4 linked regions of the Saccharomyces cerevisiae S288C genome follow. The protein of the gene in region 3 interacts with the protein of the main gene of each other region in a pairwise test. Each region holds a gene or a part of one and is shown on either strand. Other genes may lie near its edges. The genes, in order: ZDS2, YER158C, BOI1 and YJR056C.

Evidence for each region.
Region 1: the proteins of BOI1 (region 3) and ZDS2 interact in binary tests that used the Saccharomyces cerevisiae proteins (3 or more experiments, as listed by UniProt).
Region 2: the proteins of BOI1 (region 3) and YER158C interact in binary tests that used the Saccharomyces cerevisiae proteins (3 or more experiments, as listed by UniProt).
Region 4: the proteins of BOI1 (region 3) and YJR056C interact in binary tests that used the Saccharomyces cerevisiae proteins (3 or more experiments, as listed by UniProt).

Annotation. Positions count from the first base shown.
Region 1 is NC_001145.3:49,834-55,006, reverse strand, and holds ZDS2 (Zds2p), read right to left. Parts: upstream 3,368-5,173; coding exon 539-3,367; downstream 1-538. Other genes in the region: YML108W (uncharacterized protein), read right to left, coding at 1-214; COQ5 (2-hexaprenyl-6-methoxy-1,4-benzoquinone methyltransferase), read left to right, coding at 4,053-4,976. UniProt on the Saccharomyces cerevisiae protein: Acts as a negative regulator of polarized growth via an alternative mechanism to ZDS1. In heat-stressed cells appears to play a role in localizing BCY1 to the cytoplasm. Seems to interact with, and down-regulate, CDC42. Also acts as a suppressor of PKC1.
Region 2 is NC_001137.3:488,296-492,294, forward strand, and holds YER158C (uncharacterized protein), read right to left. Parts: upstream 2,284-3,999; coding exon 562-2,283; downstream 1-561. Other genes in the region: negative cofactor 2 transcription regulator complex subunit BUR6, read right to left, coding at 3,235-3,663.
Region 3 is NC_001134.8:62,196-67,381, reverse strand, and holds BOI1 (Boi1p), read right to left. Parts: upstream 3,507-5,186; coding exon 564-3,506; downstream 1-563. Other genes in the region: anaphase promoting complex subunit CDC27, read left to right, coding at 1-213; YBL086C (uncharacterized protein), read left to right, coding at 4,780-5,186. UniProt on the Saccharomyces cerevisiae protein: Functions redundantly with BOI2 to promote the fusion of secretory vesicles with the plasma membrane at sites of polarized growth.
Region 4 is NC_001142.9:541,229-544,466, reverse strand, and holds YJR056C (uncharacterized protein), read left to right. Parts: upstream 1-1,964; coding exon 1,965-2,675; downstream 2,676-3,238. Other genes in the region: CDC8 (bifunctional thymidylate/uridylate kinase), read right to left, coding at 1-405.

The sequences.
Region 1 (5,173 bases), on a different chromosome or scaffold from region 3:
TATGACCTTCGTTCGGTATACATATTTCGGCATCGAACTTATCAAACCAGGTATTTAATTCGTCCAGTTCGTCAACATTAAATGGAAGTATCAACTCGTCAACAAATTCATGCATTTTTCCCGGCTTACCTTTCAAAAATTTTTCATCTTCTTTATTTATCTTGGTGTCGTCTTCTAGTAAGACGAGCATCCTATAAGTATTACTCTTGGACATTTCGTTTTTCTCTTTCGTCTTAGTGTAGTACGAGATAGAATTCAACCGCAAGGTAGCCTTGCTGTATTGGACAGATCATTCGAATTTGTTCCAAATAGGATGAGATGAGGTCGGCTTTTCTTCATTCTCGCTAGAAAATTTAAAAAAAAAGAAAAAAATAATTACATAAATATATATTTATATGTATATACTGTAGTCCTTCCTTGCATGAAAAGACGACGTTTTTCGTGATAATAAGAAGTTTGACACTAAAAGGGCATCCTTACAATACTTGAAATATGTGGCCTTATATAGGTATCTATCAATCTTGTAAACAGTTATGAGTTAAATGTCTGGAATTAAGATTGTGCCATCAGAATCATTTTTGTCCATCATTCCCAAGGCAGAATCACCATTGAAGGCTATATCTCCAGTGCCCACCTGCTCCATGTATAAGGTATGATTGACTAAATTCAAGTAGGAGTACATGAAGTTACTTAGCAATACTTGTTGTCTTAATTCCCTCCCGGGATCGCTAAGCTTCAGATGGCTGAGTCTGTAAATAGCCCTTTCAACATTAATTCCTAGACGATGGTCAAACATAATCACTGTAGAGTTGGTTATCATTGGTAATGGGAATCCAAAAGCACTGTCTGTGAATTTTATTGGAGCGTTTGAGTAATCTGGTTTAACGACATCTTCAAATGTCAATTTTCTTGGAGGCAAAGTTGAGATTTGAGGGGCAGTAGGTGAAGTGTTGTCTTCTCTCTCTGCTCCTATATCCTCTTCTAGTCCAGCTGTCGTATCTCTACTGATACTAGAGTGCACTTCGACGTCGTAGTTTACATCACCACCACTAATATCAAATGAATCGTCGCCATCTAACTCGCTTATAGTTTCCACCACAAATTCAGAACTGTGGCTAGTATGGCTGTCAGGAAGAAGGGTGGAAGCATTTGAACTTCTCACTTCTGGTTCAATGACGCTTGCTGTATCTATATCTTCGGTGGTAATTGTTTTGGTGGGGGATGAAGGGCGTTCAACTTCCGCTTCTTGGGGCTTTTTCTTGGGACTTTTCCTGAATTTTGATAAACTCGAATGCGAAGCCTTCTTTTTCAGTTCTTTTTTAACACTTTTTTTGATTACTTTCACATCTGATTTGCAGGTACCATTATGTTGTTTTCTTTTGAATAATTTGGCAAGCCTTTTCTCCAAGGAATTTTTCTTATGTGTACTGGCTTGGGTGTCAGTAGGCAGTTCTACCTTTTTCTCCACGACTGCCGGTGCAGTAGGCTTAGATGGCTGGGATTCAGATGAAGAAACGACTGAAGGAGTGATTACCACGGATTTTGCTTCTTCAGAATGTATCTGGAAAATTGGCGAATGTCTATTTTTGGAATGGTTTATTCTTTCAGAGGCACGTTTGGTAGATTTCGCTCTCCTCGATACACTCAAGTTAACAAAGTCAGCTTTTTCATTGTCCACACATTCTTCATCGTCTTCATCATCTGTAAGCTGTTGATAAGTTTGTTCATTAGCGTTCAAACTTCCATTGCTAGAATTCAACCATGACCAGCCATGATTTGCTTCGCTGTTATTGGTATTTGATTTTTCACTCGAGCTAACGTGCTGATCCAATTTTTCAGAAATCATCGAACCAGTGTTATGCGGCTTTATTAAAACGCTGTTGTTAGAACTATCTGTAGATAAAAGACTGCTCTCTTGAGAAATAGATGCATGTGTCAAATCTTCTTCATCCGAATAGTAGTTGGTGCTATCAACGTATTTCTCATTTTCGGTACTCCAATCAGTACTTGTTCTTCTGTAATGGTCGAAAATCTCGTGAAAATCATTCAATGATGCTTGCTCCTGAGGCACTTGTGTGTAGGAGGCAGGCGATGATGCACTTCTGCGATTGTCATTAGTTTGTATATTCATTAGGCTATTGAGTTTTACCGCCTGTGGAAGGCTACTACCCTCTAGTCTGATCTTATATGTGTTGAATTTAGACCTCCTTAGAGAAGATCTCTCTGGTATGGTAAGTCCAGTTTCATTAAACATATTTGATGCAAATTCGTTATCATTTTCAGTGTGATTGCCGTTCAAATGAAGACTTTCGTTGGTAAATGACCCTGACATGCTCAAGCTTCTGGCTAAAGTCACCGCATCTGAGTCCGTTAAACCGGCATTATTGGAAATCTTAGTAAGCTCTTCAGTAATTTCTTTCAAAGATACAGATCTTATGGTTTTGATGTCAGATGAGGATATTCGCTTATCCACTTGTATTTCTCCTTCTTGTGGTTTGTCTGCAAGGGGAGGTTCGTCATCAAACTTGGTATAAGATGTCTTCAACCGAGAAGGCCTTCTAACTACAGAGCCCGTGCGTTTTCTATTCGAAATTACATGATTGTTACCCAGTTCTAATTTGTTTTCATCAATGTCTTGATTTGTGCTTATTTGAATGTTTTGTAAAGTGTCCTGGATCAATTCCAAATAGTTTTCGGGCTTAACGTTAGGATGTTGGTCAGCGGGCACCCACAAAAGGTTTTGAGTTAAATCAACCATTTTTGAATCGTGGTCGTTCTCCACATCCAATACAACATCGTGAGCCAATGTCTTTACTCCACTGAGCCTTCTGTTCCTCGACGTTACTCTTGCTGAAGATGAAGTGGATGAAGAAGCATTACGGATGATTTTTTCCTTCTCCAATGTTTCTTCATCATGCAAATACTCTGTTTGAGTGATATCTATACTGTCGTCGACATTAGTAGCATCGCCCTCTTCATATGCATCATTGTCTTCGCTCCCTTGTTCTTCCTTTTGTTCTGATCGTATAATGTTCTCTTCATGGAGCGATTCTTGAAGGGATTCCTTTGAGGAATCTGAAGAATATGAGTTTCTACTGTTCACTTTGAACTCTAGCTCAGGGTCAATTACCAAATCCATTGAACCAATCGACAATCGCTTCAAATTTTTCACATTCTGAATTTCTGTATCTAAAGACTTGGCAGCAATTAACACGTCAGATTTCCTCTTCTCAAAAAGCTCCTTCTTGGACAGCTGTGTCTTCCTCATTCGCCTCATTTGAATATTATTATTACTGTCCGTACCACCACTACTGTTTTCTACAGTATTATGGCCATCTTTGTTTTGCATATCTTCCATCAGTACCATAAAATTCTAATTTAAATTCAGTCTATAGTGCAAACGTGATCAATGTAAAGTATACGATACTACTAACCTTGACACTGTTCTTTAGCGTTTTACTCCAGTTTTCAATCATATTATTATGATCTAACGAAGATGAGATGAAAACAAAAATAAGACGCGGCGTGTGCTACCCGCACAACGCGTCAGCAAATGTTACTGGTCACAATAATCATGCACTTATAATTAGCTACAAAAGGCCACTTCTAGGTCCAATGTGACCATTTTGCAGCCAAATCAAGCATAAACCGGCCGTGATACTATCGGCGATACACAGCCTAAATTTCTGAGTTTTGCGGTTTTCTCTGTGGGAAAAGTGCGAGAATTTTTCTGAATTGGGAAGAGTACATGTCAAAAACGGGAAGTGACACCATTGAGCAAATATCAAGGTATCCGATAGTTCTGTTCTCGATATTGGAACACAGTTATTTGGCAAATGTATCATTAAATGAAAGTCTTTCCGTATAGGATTCTGCCCTGTTGCCTGCTCTTCCCTAATATGGAAACTAGCTTCCGCATTTGACAAAAACTGAAAAAGTGGAAAAAAAAGGATCACACAAGAAACTATAAGGATATCTGCCACCTTCACTCCTTATACAGCTGCTGTTACAATTGCAAAGGGAATAGTACAGATCGCAGCAAGAAAGATATAATGTTGATTTCTTCACGGATCGTTCGAAGCTCGCTGGTAAATGTCCCGCTAAGATTATCTAGGTGTTTTACGCAAGCTCACAGAGCATGCAAAGAAGAAGAAGTTAATAGTCCTTTATCATCCGCAGCTGAACAGCCAGAGCAGAAGTATACGCATTTTGGTTCGAAGACTGTATTGAAGTCTACCAAGCAGAAGTTAGTTGGTGATGTCTTTTCTTCCGTGGCCAATCGGTATGACTTGATGAATGATGTTATGTCATTAGGAATTCATAGATTGTGGAAGGACCATTTTATCAATAAACTAGATGCGGGAAAAAGGCCAAACTCTACGACTCCTTTGAACTTCATAGATGTGGCTGGGGGATCCGGTGATATTGCTTTCGGATTACTAGACCATGCTGAGTCGAAATTTGGTGACACTGAGTCTACAATGGATATTGTAGATATCAACCCTGACATGCTTAAAGAAGGTGAGAAGAGAGCCATGGAACAAGGAAAATATTTCAAGGATCCTCGTGTGAGATTTTTGGTTTCTAATGGTGAGAAACTAGAGGAGATTGATTCTGATTCCAAGGACATCTACACAGTCTCCTTCGGTATCAGAAATTTCACCGATATTCAAAAGGGTTTAAACACTGCTTATAGAGTTTTGAAACCGGGCGGTATTTTTTATTGTCTAGAATTTTCCAAAATTGAGAATCCCCTAATGGACTTTGCTTACCAACAGTGGGCTAAGGTCCTACCTGTAATGGGCTCGATGATTGCTAATGACTACGACTCTTACCAGTATTTGGTGGAGTCTATCGAAAGATTTCCTGACCAAGAAACGTTCAAATCCATGATTGAGAAGGCAGGATTCAAATCTGCTGGCTACGAAAGTTTAACTTTTGGTATATGTGCCATCCATTGGGGCATTAAAGTTTAAAGTAAATAGAACAAATTTCCTTTTTTTTTTGTCAAGAAAATCGAAGCTAGTAAAACATGCCTATACTATTTCTGTCTCTCTTCTTCTTTAGTAATACCTGTGCCATGTGATAGCCATATATTTTGCTGTGATGTGCAGAATTCGTATATACTAGGGGGAAATAGAACGAAAGAAAGAAAGAAAAAAAAAAAAAGAAA
Region 2 (3,999 bases), on a different chromosome or scaffold from region 3:
ATTGGTATTACAGTTTTTTATGTGAATTAAAATTTATCATCTTAAGATTATTACCACAGCACTATATTCTGAACATTATTCGAAATGATATAATTCAAATATTCCCTATCAGTATGTCCATAGGCGATAAAAATGTGATTAAGTAATTTTCGAGCCCCCGCGTTAAGCAAGCATCCATCAATAAAAACTTCATTAACACTCTTAGATAATCACTGTAAAAAATTCTAATTATCGGTTAAGGTTATAAAGTTAGGTAGCTGGTAAAAAAGCGATTGATCTCAGACATATCTTTTAAATGTTAAAACTCATCGCTCTTCAGGGAAATCTTACGCGCTATTTTTACAGTCGCGCGGGTCTTAACCATAATTTTTTACCGCTGCAAATATTTGAATGCTATAAGAGCAGATAAAAAATAGATTATAGAAATTAACCTGTTAAAACAATTATCCAAAATGTAGTAAGTATTTATCTTACGTAAAAAGTTCGATGCATATAAAATAAAATAGAATATATAAAGAGATACAACAGAGTCTCAAGAAGGAAAAAAGCTTGATGAACCCGTTATAAGTAGTAATGTGTATACTTAGCGCTATCCTGGTGAACGCGCATTTCCTTTCTTTTGAACTCATTCACCTCCATTTTGATTTCAATATTGGATATATTTTTTGTGGATGAGAGATTATTACCGACAAAAGTAGAAGGATTGGTAATGTCTTGGCTCTTTCCTTTAAAGAAATTATTCAAAAAGGTATTATCACACCTGCAATAGTCCGCGGCGGACCACGTATCGTTTACATAAATCTCATCCGCAAAGCGTAAGGATTTGACGGCATTTTTAGATTTCGATGACCCTGAAGAAGGGGCAGGTGTTGGCGAAGAAGATATGGATTGCATTGGTCCACGGGAAACCAACGATGACGAGGACGAAGAAGAAGGAGCCGGCGATGATATTGAAGAGTTTATGAACGAAGAGTTCGCAGCATCAGTAGTGGTAGAGAGAGAAGATGGCACAGAAGCAGTCAAAGGCAATTTGTTTAAATACACGGTAGACCATTCATCCTGCAAACGCTTTAAGAAAACGGTGCTCTTTTCCTCTGGAGCAATATCTTCATTAGACGAATCTTGACTACAGTAGTATAACTTTGTAGTTCGTTTATCAGACAGTGTAGGTCTGTTTGGTGACCTAGGGGGTGGAAGAACTGGTATCCTGTTATTATCTCCGAGTGCTGTCAATTCTTGTACTATGCCAGAGTCCTTAATTGAAGGTACAGCCGTTTCGTGATTGTTAACGGTTGAAAAACTCTGTTTTATAATTTCAACCGGTTGGTCAAGGGACGTTATCGGTTCTGGTACAACTCTCTCCGGATTTTTCCTTTTCTGCTTTGTTTTGCTATTCTCTTCTACGGAATCTGCAGAATTTGATGACTTGGACGACCAGATTTTCCTGAAGAAACGAGATATCTTTTTAGAATTTGATCTAATTGCCTTTGGAGACTCGGATTCAGATTTCTGATTAGCATCAGCAGCTTTCGTTTGTTGAGGAGAACGATTGTTCGTGCCAGTGGCAATGGAATCGTTATCTGCGGAAGATGGGCCTCCAGTCTGGGTCAAAGGCAACGATGAACTAGAAGGAGAGTCGGGAAAAGTCGAAGATGGCGGAAGCCTTGCTATCTGGTTTCTTGGCGTGAAATTTTCACCGTTGGGGAATTGAAAAGCGCTTTTCATCTGCTTTCTTTGTAATTGGAAAGGAGTAAGTTCCTTCCTAACACGTGGATTAGAATAGGTAGGCGGGGATGATCGGAGACTGTAGCGACTACCAGAGTACTTTTCGGGAATGGTCATTAAGGAGTGGCGTCTGGACGGGTTTGGTCTACAACGATATTGCGGGTGCGCATTGTGATCACTGGTAGTATGGTTGTTCATGTTCATGTTCATGTTCATGTTCATGTTCATATTCATATTCATATTCATATTCATGTTATCGTAGCGAGAGGGGCGATTTCTAGTTGAAGGCAGAGATGAAGTCGAGGAGGAAGCAAAGTTAGGTTTATTGTACTGGCGCATCGGTGCGCCATTACCATTATTGTCTGATCTATTAGCCACCAGAGTAGAGTGCCTCCTTGAGACGGTAGCATCCGGTATGTAGAACAGATCAATCGTAGACGCAGATCTAGCGTCCACAGCCCTAGGAATACTCAAAGAGTCTCTCCTTGAAGGAGAAGTGAGCGTGTGAAAATCATTACCATGCAAACTCCTCCTCGAGGAAGAACCCTGCTGTAACATGCTGATTAAGAGTGAGTGGAAGTAGTAGCGAGCGGTGGTGGCTATGTGTTTAGCCTGGTAAAATGAATCCTATTGTGTCAGCACGGAAAAAACAACAATAGCAATAATATGACAATAAACAAGTATTTTGCCGTAGCTCTCCTTCAGTTATTTGATGATGAGTGTAAACAGATTACTGTATATAGAGCAGTAGTAAAGAAAGCTGAAGTCAAGTGCAGATGAAAGACAAATACAAAAGGAGTACGCCTGTATTATATTTCCAAGTGCGTAATTTTGAGGTATTAATATTAAGTAATTATCAGAAGCAAGAAGCCAACAACCAGACCGCTTGGGCTTAAACTAGCATATCAGCACAATCTGCAAGTATACATTTCTTTGGTGTCTCGAACGCAACGCGGTGCAAACCGCGAGAACCTTAACGATTTTTCACACTCCTTCCTCCGTTGCTGCAAGAATCCTCGAGCTAGCCCTTCGTCCGCTTCCTTTGGCACTTGAAAGAAAAAATTAGCTTTTCTTTTTCCTCCTTTCTTTTTGTCTTTCTGGTGTAGGCACAGTTGGAAGGATGGGACACCTAAAAATCTTATTTAAGAAGTCACAGACGGTAACGCAGCGCCTCGTTTCTAAATCGTATAGCAGGCTGAGCGCCCGCACACCCACCTGCGGGAGTTACTCCGGGGATCGTATGGGGTGATGCATGCTCTTTCGTAAACCTTAAGAATAGCGTTAATTTTTTCCTAAATAGGAATACACATACTCATGCTATGTAACTGTAGAGAAAGGTACAGATTACATGAGGCGCCGGTTGTCGTTGATACATATGTGATTACGTTTCGTCCTTGATAATAGAGTATAATATATATGTGCAGACATATATAGATATAAATACATTGGTATATGGATATATATAGATGTGGTATTCATTTTACACTAAGTTACATCGCCCCGTTCTGCTCAGGCACTCTCTTCCTCCGGTTGTGTTTGGCCTTCTTCTACGCATAGACCTTCCCTTAAGAAATCGAATTTTTCGTCGTTTAAAATTGTTTTTTTTAGTATTTCGGCGGTTATTCTCTTGGTTCCTTGTCCTCTTGCCATCTCCCCGCTTTTTTTCACCAATAACGCTATAAAAAACTCTAGGGACCTGCCCGCTATTACGGGCGTGGCTTGTGAAACTTTTCCTATATCCTCGTCTGTCTGCATTATTTTCTTTACCTTGGCCGGAGGGAAGTGTGTCTTTATTCTGTCGAATACATCACCTAGCTCGTTGTTGTTATTCGAGTTGGTACCCATGTTACCTACTGGACTCCCTCCAGCATCAAGTGGTACCTCATGTTCAGGTTTTATTGGTGGTAGTTGTGTTGTAACTGGTACTTGATCTGCCATTAAGAATGTAGTGATGAGTACTGTAACTGGTTTTATTTTTTTTTTTGAATTTTTATTTTCGTGACGTGCTTTTTTTTCCGTTTTTGGTTTTAATGCCCCAAAATAAAATAATCCCCTTTTGTATACGTTTTTCTTTGCCTGCCTTTTTATTTCTCAGTGCATTGCCCTTTCTTTCGCAAATTCATGTGTTTTAAGGGTAATAGGAAATATCACGCTACCTGACAAAAAAAAAAAAAATTAATTTTGGCCTGGAAAATTCTTCTCCTTAAATACAAAAAGATTCTTTTTTATAGAATGTCATAATTCACGAACAGTTAAAAAAATATAAACACACAA
Region 3 (5,186 bases):
ATGACAAGATATAATGTTGCTTTGCAAACTTTTGAAGAATTGGTGAAACTCGTTCCTGATGATGCCACAGCCCATTATTTGCTGGGTCAAACATATAGAATAGTTGGGAGGAAAAAAGATGCAATCAAGGAGCTAACTGTTGCTATGAATTTGGATCCAAAGGGTAACCAAGTTATCATCGATGAATTACAAAAATGTCATATGCAAGAATAAACGCAGGTTGGCCAAAACATAACAAATTGAAACATGTTAAATGTTTTCATAATTCTTTTTGTTCTTCGTTGTTTCATATTTATTTTTAAGTTAATGTAATAGTAATAGTTAATAATAATAACGTTAATGGTAACAATAATAATAATATATATATCCAGTAATTTGAAAGAAGAGGACATCATGTCTGCGGTTCCTGCGATGTACTTCTTGATAGTATCAGTGTCTAATTTGATTGTATTAATTCGTAAACTTTTTATTTTTATATACTTTATATCACTATATTATGTTCTATTAAATATTAATTATTAAGGTGTTTAAGTTGGTCAAGAAGTAACTAATGATTGCAGTTCTCAAAGTCTGCCACCAGGGTATTCAAATGCTGAACTTTCCAGGTAATCGCTGGTCTCAAATTGATCTTGTTCGATTGGATAATTAGAATTTCTTTTATTTTGGGTGTCATCCCATCCAAATTGATCTCTTCCCTCTTCCTCTTCAGCATCTCTTAACTGGGTTTGTAACCTAGCTTCTTCCAATAGCGTCTGTGCCTTGCTTAGAGGTATCGTTGGTGTGGCATATGAACTAATGACAGGGACGCTTGTATCAATATCAATAGTGGCCTTTATTATGGCTGACAGCCATGCCTTCATTTCAGATTTATTCTCAACTGCAAAATAGTGAACGCGAGGTTCTGTAAAGGTTAGCCCCTTTTTGGACCCCGGTTGCGGAGGGACCAATTTGAAACAGTATTTTCCTTTTCCTAAGCTCGCAGCGTATAAGGAAATGAGCCTATCATCATCACTGGCAGGTAAGACCCTATGTGCCGTTATATCTATCAGGCCACGCTCCTTCTCATCATTGGTATTCGTAAAATAAGAAAGCCTTGTTCCATGAAGTGTGAAAAACCGTTGTTTCCAAGTCCCCATAGCACCGGTACCTTTTTTGCTCATCCAGCCTGAACAGTCCGCAGTTTGCATAGATTCCTTTGCTGTGATAGAGCGTATACCTTCGGTAAAAGCAGATGTTTGTTGCTTTTTAGCATTCGACCTGGGAAGTATCGATTTGGTAGATTTTTGGGTAAGTTCACTGGGAGATCTTTTGAATTCCTTGCTTCCTACAAATGATTCTTTGGTGCTACTAAATAATTTCTTTTTGCTTTTTTCTTCGGAAGAGCCATCTTTGGAGCTACTGTTCTTGTGTTTGTGCTTGCTCTTGTGCTTGTGCTTGTGCTTGTGCTTCCCTTCACTTGGTTGTGATACTGCCTCCTTATTATTACTACTAGTAGGAGTTTCGCTATGCGCTAAAGCAATATTGGATTTGGAATTTATAGGGCTTAAAGAAGTTTTCAAGGGGCTGGTAACTAACGAGTGTTTTCTACTATGGGAGTAAGATTGTGATCTTGCATGCGAATAGGAATTCGACTGAGAACGAGAATGGGAAGTCATCTTTGCGGGATCGATAGTGAAAGTTTGTTTGGTTGGTGACGTTGGATTAGACTGACTTTTTGAAGAAAAAAAAGATAATATAGAAGAGTTTCTCCTATGCTTTTTCATTTCAGAAAGTGAGGCATCTCTTGAATGTCCGTAAGACGACTTTCTGCGTGCTGAGTCAAAAACTGCTCTGCTAGCTTTTGAAGGTTGTTTCGTTTCTTCTTCGTCGAAACTTGACTTGACTGGCGATAGCATTGAAATCCTGTTGAACAAATCAACAAATGAGCTTCCGGATTCCGTCCTCTTATGGTTATTGTAAACAACGGAATTTCTGTTCGGATGATGAGATGTAGCATTTGAAGATATATTTGAAATTGCGGGTAGAGATTCATCTGTGTTAACCGTGTTAATAGAAGGTATAGTAGCAGATGTCAGTGTTGTTTTCCTAGAGTTCGAGTCATGACCATTCATGGCAGGGAATTTGAACTTGCCCGTTGAATTATCGGAAGATGTCGAAGAATTTGGAATTAGCCCATTTGAATAAACGGTTGGGTTCTTGTTTTTAGGTGGATATGTTGTTTGAGGAGGAAACCTTGCGTTATTATTTGTGTACCTGTTATTAAAAGAGGGCGATTGTGGAGGTTGAACTGGACTTGGATATGATGGTGGTTTTGGAGCCCTTCCCGGTGATTCGAAAATATCTTTATCAGCAAACAAATTAGGAACTTCTGTCATATCTAGGATCTGCTCAGCTGGGTCGTGAAGTTTAAAATTGGGATTAACAACAACCGAGCTTGGTCTTTGCAATTCTGTGGTGACCGAAGATGATTTTCTATCAGAGCTTTCACTTGACAACTTGTTACACTTGGAGGAAATTTGTTGTTGGATTTCGTCTCTATTTACAGTGGCTGCAGGCATTAGTTGGGCAGCTTGGTTTTCAAAAGCAAAGGTAGAGTAGTCGGCGTCCAGTTTATTTGACGACGAATCAATTGCAGACTTGATGTTCCTTATTTCTTTGAATATCTGAAATCTTATACCAAAAGAATTTATTTCCAATTCTTTTAGGTGTTCCAGTTCTAATTCCAGTAGTATTTTTCCGGAGACTTGATGCTCTTTGAATTTATTGCAAGTGGATTGATCAAATCCAACCAAGCTAAAGTAATCAGTAACCTCTTCTGGGCTCCAACTTTTAGCCATTTTCAAATCTAATTGACGAACTGATTCCGAACTCGGTTCTAGGGATTTTGTTGATATATTTGACTTACTTATATTCTTCAAAGATTCAGAACTTAAGTTTAAATCCGCTGTGCTAGAAAATAACGAGTCATGTGTCGTGTTTTCCTCATTTCTGGTTTTTTCTTGAATCAAAGTCTGTTCATCTTGCAACTGTGGAGTGCTAACTTCGGGCACGCGTGTGGGCGATTTTGATACCTCTTGTTCAACTGAACCACTTCTTAGCTCTTCCAAGGCTTTGTCTATATCGCTCATTGTACTTTTCAATGATGTATATCTGTTCTCCTGTTGATGCGAGGAGACTTTACCTATGTTACTCGCAGAATCATTTAAATTTCCATATTTAACACCAGAATTTCCACTCTCTTGGGTTGGTGATTTGTGCAGGTTCTCTGGTTTTTCTATTGCTATTCTTTTGGTAAATACCGCTGGGTATAAACCTTCCTCTTTGGTTCTCAAATTGCGCCCATAATACCAGCCGTCATTGTACTCCCCATCATCAGTAATGACTTTAATTTTATCACCTGGTTTCATATTGAGCTCGTCCTCCATTCGTTTAGAGTACTGATTTACCGCAATATACAGAGGAAAAGATTTGGCCCCTTTGCCTAGGGTATTTCCTTCGAGACTCATCTTCTATTTTTTATTATTACAGTGGCCTCCGGTCACCTCGAGTTAGAACTTTGTTGAAATTCAGTAAAACAATTGTTTCTTTAGACAGACGCAGTAAAACTGCTTGATAGAGCGAAGAATTGCCTTTAATTGACGCACCCAATTCTTCGGATGTAAATCAGAAAGTATCCTAAGGGAAGCGTATAGTTTTCAGTTTCTTTTTCCTTTTTTTTTTCGTTTTCTGCCAAATTTTTAGTGCCATGTTATTCATTTACCTTTCACGTCCTTTCGTTTGTTTTGGTACGGGGGAATGTCGTTTCCGACTACGCGGTTTCGAAAGTAGTGCAATGTGGCTGAGCTCTCCCCCCCACACGTGATAGCCTTTCTTACGCGTCAATAGAATAGAAAGCTCACATACTCTTGAATATTTGGTAACATCTTTTGAAGGACAAGTTCATACAATTATATGATATGCTTCAAGTTTTCCAGAAAAGATTTCTAGGCATGCCATACTTCCCTTTTTTTTAATTTTTGTCACGAAATCCTGGTATTTATTCTTGGAATGTATTTTTTTCTTTTGAAACACATTACCAACTCTTTTCAAAATCTCCAGGAATGGCAGAGAAGAAAACAAATTTTTATCTGCAAAACCCCGGAGAACACTCAAATTCCTAAATCATGACTGTACTGTTAAGTCATGCCGTAGTAAATATTGCACGATATCATCTTGATGTAAACTGGACTTCGTTTAGATCTACCAGCATACCAGCTCTACGTTTTCTGATAATTTAGCTCCACTTCGTTAAAAAAATTTACCGGCTGATAGGGAGAGAGTCACTGCTTCGATAGAGACTTTAATTTTAATATTACTTTCATCTTCATGCGGCTCGGCTCCCATGTATTCACCGCTCGTAGAAGGGAGAAGAGTTGGTAACTTTTCTTTTTCATTTCTTGCCCAAATATTGCGAACATGATAGCAGTTGATGGAAACGTAATCAGTTAAGTGTCTTAATTAGCCACCATTCAGAGGTCTTGGATGCATATATAACAATCTCGGCGGCTAAATCAAGATATTTATTTCCGGGTAAAGAACGCGTGGGTATATTTCTTTTTTTTTTTTCGGGAGAAGTTTTCTCAGGGTCCCCCCCCTTTGTATCTCTTAAGATGACCAAGTACGGTGACAACGGCAAAGCTCACTTGCTAATGAAGGAGTGAACACCTTCTAATTTCATTCAGGTTGCTTAGAAGTATTAGGTACCCAAGAAAGGTATAATACCGCTCACAAAATATTAAGATGCCATTTAATCATAATAGCAAGGCAAAAAGACCAAAGTTTCTACTGGACCTGCAAATCAAAGAATTGGTAAATATTCCTCAATCTTCTGGCTATTGCTACACGAAATGGCGTTTGAAGGATGGAACAGGTACGTCGGGACACAAAGTGGCTCTGGACGGTGAGCATCAAACCACTTCGACCCAGAGTAGAGGTACAACAAAACACGTGCATGTGCAACATCATAGAGCACAATGGAATTATTCATTAGACAAACCAATCCTGGTGAAGCTCCACTTGGATAAAAACGGCAGATTCTTGAAGAAAATTTTGGTGTTGGATGTTTTTTTTGAGTTTGCTGATGCGAATTCCTCGTTGACTTCTAGTTCTAGTCCCAATGGCAAAGTGAAGAAAACGACCTATGCTAA
Region 4 (3,238 bases), on a different chromosome or scaffold from region 3:
TTGAGTGCTTAAAAATAATGTCAAATCCGGTTTCAGCAACCCTACATCGGGTTGCAAGCACCAATCCAAATCCATTCCATTTGTCCCCTTAGCGGCAGAATATGCCACTCCAGAATAAACATATCTGTCCATGACAATGTTCTTGCCTTCTAGTAAATCTTTCTTTATCTTGTCAACTATTTCCCATCTATTTGCCGAAAACAAGAGGTGAATTGCCTGATCTGATAATTGGAAACTATCATCCGTCAAATATTCGTTTATGAGTCCTCCGATTCGGGTAGACCTTTCGGGGAACTTCAATAGTTTACAGTTTGGTTGCAATTTTTTGTAAAGAATATTACATTGCGTGGTTTTACCAGTCCTATCCAATCCTTCTATCAGTATTAATTTGCCACGACCCATCATTCAAAATGGTGATCTTTCTGTCCACTATGAATCATATTTAGTTTAGAAGCGTACTTCTTGGGAAGACGTTACATTTTTTCGCCATCTTTAGCACCACGCCTAACGCGTCAAAAGTCACAACCGCATAGAAGCCGTTATTCTCTTCTTCATTTCTAAGCTATTTTCCAACTTTTTATATTATCAACTGTAACCTACTAGTTTAGGATATCGCTTTCTCCCTTTGTTACCAATGCACAATTATTTCGTAATTATAAAAATGGACCCGTGGAACAAATTAATGTTTGGAAGAAAGGTGAATTTTTTGATAATTGCTGGGATTCCATTGTTGGTAAAGACTTAATATTAGGTATACAGAATATACTAGGAGTTCTCTCTGGGTATGTAGGAATCCACAAAAGGGTGTCACTAGTTCAACATAATAATGTCTTTTTTTTATTCCTTCTTTGATACTTTGTCACTCATTATCCTATTACATTATCAATCCTTGCATTTTTAGCTTTCATTAGACTTTGTTACTGTTTCTCAATCCTTATGTTATCTTCTTACACAGTATGGGATAATATAATAGTAACATGAAAACTCTTCGATAGGTAATAGTTGATTCTTGTTCCAACGTTACTATAGCTATGGAAAATAACGCAGCAGCATATGAAGTTTCGGCTCTAATCCACTGTGCAAAATACAGGTTTCTCTCTTCAAAAGGTATCCTCCAGAAAAGTTATGAAGTATTTTCATATGATGATGCTGACTTAATACTTCCCAACCGAAAATCACATTTGCGAATAAGCTGGTCATGATGTCGCTATTTCTAATTCCGTTGAAAATACTTACGTTTGTTCCTCAGTTGCTATCTCATTTCAAGTATTTGTTCATTAATTTGTCAGTATTCTCTTCCATCCCTTAGCTTTAGTATAAATTTCACTCTGAACCATCTTGGAAGGACCGGATAATTATTTGAAATCTCTTTTTCAATTGTATATGTGTTATGTAGTATACTCTTTCTTCAACAATTAAATACTCTCGGTAGCCAAGTTGGTTTAAGGCGCAAGACTGTAATTTATCACTACGAAATCTTGAGATCGGGCGTTCGACTCGCCCCCGGGAGATTTTTTTGTTTTTTATGTCTCCATTCACTTCCCAGACTTGCAAGTTGAAATATTTCTTTCAAGCTCTTAACGAAGAGTTATTATCAAATTGTGACATATTCCTTTACACAATACGGAGATAATATATTAACGAACTCTTGTAGCCTCTTTTCCTTGTTACCCCACCTATATTTTCTTCACTTTTCGAATTTGTTCTAAAAGTGCGCTTGAAAAAATTTCAAATGGTTCTTTTTCCTTACTCGTAAAGGCATCTGGACAAAAGCATCGTTTCCACCTTCCAAGTGCACGTTAGCCTGATACAAATCATTGGTGGTGAAGCGCAGCCATTCATTCTACTGTACTTGTCTTACGTCGTTTTGCAGTTTAGCATCGTGGCAGCTCATACAATTACATTTCAAGAAACCTTTTTTACCGACGACACATATCTAATTCAAGAGCAGAATATATTCAATTATGGAGCAAATGCATTCATTGGAATCAAGTTTACCTCCAGAGCAACCTCCTACAAAGCAAGCGATTGAGAGTCTTAATTTGGAACTTTCTCAAGAGTTCAAGCTAGCCGCCAATGCGGTGACAAGACTTTACCGGGTGGCTAATGAGAAAAACTCTTTAACCAAACATCAGGGCTACCTCACCTGTTTGGATGATATACTATGTGCATTGGACTCAAATGTGACTGCTGACGAGTTAAGGGCTTGGTGCTATAAACGAAGAAATGATATCCTTTCAAACTCGCAGGATAAATCTTTAAATCCGGTGAAAGAAAGGGAAAGAAAGCTTAATAAGTTCAGTGAAAACCAACACCGCGAAAATGAAGCTCATAAGGAACCTTTTGAAAAAGACAGCGCAGTCAAGTATAATTTCAGTTTCAACGAATCAAATGGGGACCTCTCAAATATTAATGAAAATATAGCACCTAAATTTAGACTTTCTATGCCGCCTTTAAGTGTCGAACATCCTCCTAGGAATGCTAGTCGTATAAAATCCTGGAAAGCACGAACAATCAATCACGGAAGAGGGGACACGAGAAACCTAAATGACATAACGGGACTTGGACATGAGCGTGAGCGTGATCGTGAAAATACACATTATGAAAAAAAACCGAAATTGGATTCTGATTCAGAAGTAGACATAAGGAGTTTCCGCCAGGATATGGACCTGTAAGAACACCCGGGAAGAGGTTCTCAAGTTAGAAGGAGCCCATTGCATTGTAGGTATAATATCGAAAATATTTAAATATTGTTTTTGAATCTCATATATACATACGTTTCAGAAAGCACATAGAAATAAACTTTCAGTGAGCCAGATGGTGTCTGATAACTTACGATATATGCAAAAAGTATGTTATATGTAACCGCAACAGTAGCCAAAAAAATCTCCGCGACGGGGAATTGAACCCCGATCTGGCACGCGACAAGCGCCCATTCTGACCATTAAACTATCACGGATTTTCTTTCTGTACAAATCTGGATTTTCTGTTATTATATAACAAATCAAAAAAAAGTTCCGAGTAATTAATGTTGAGATATGTTGGAATAAAAATCAACTATCATCTACTAACTAGTATTTACGTTACTAGTATATTATCATATACGGTGTTAGAAGATGACGCAAATGATGAGAAATAGTCATCTAAATTAGTGGAAGCTGAAACGCAAGGATTGATAATGTAATAGGATCAATGAATATTAACATATAAAATGATGATAATAATATTTATAGAATTG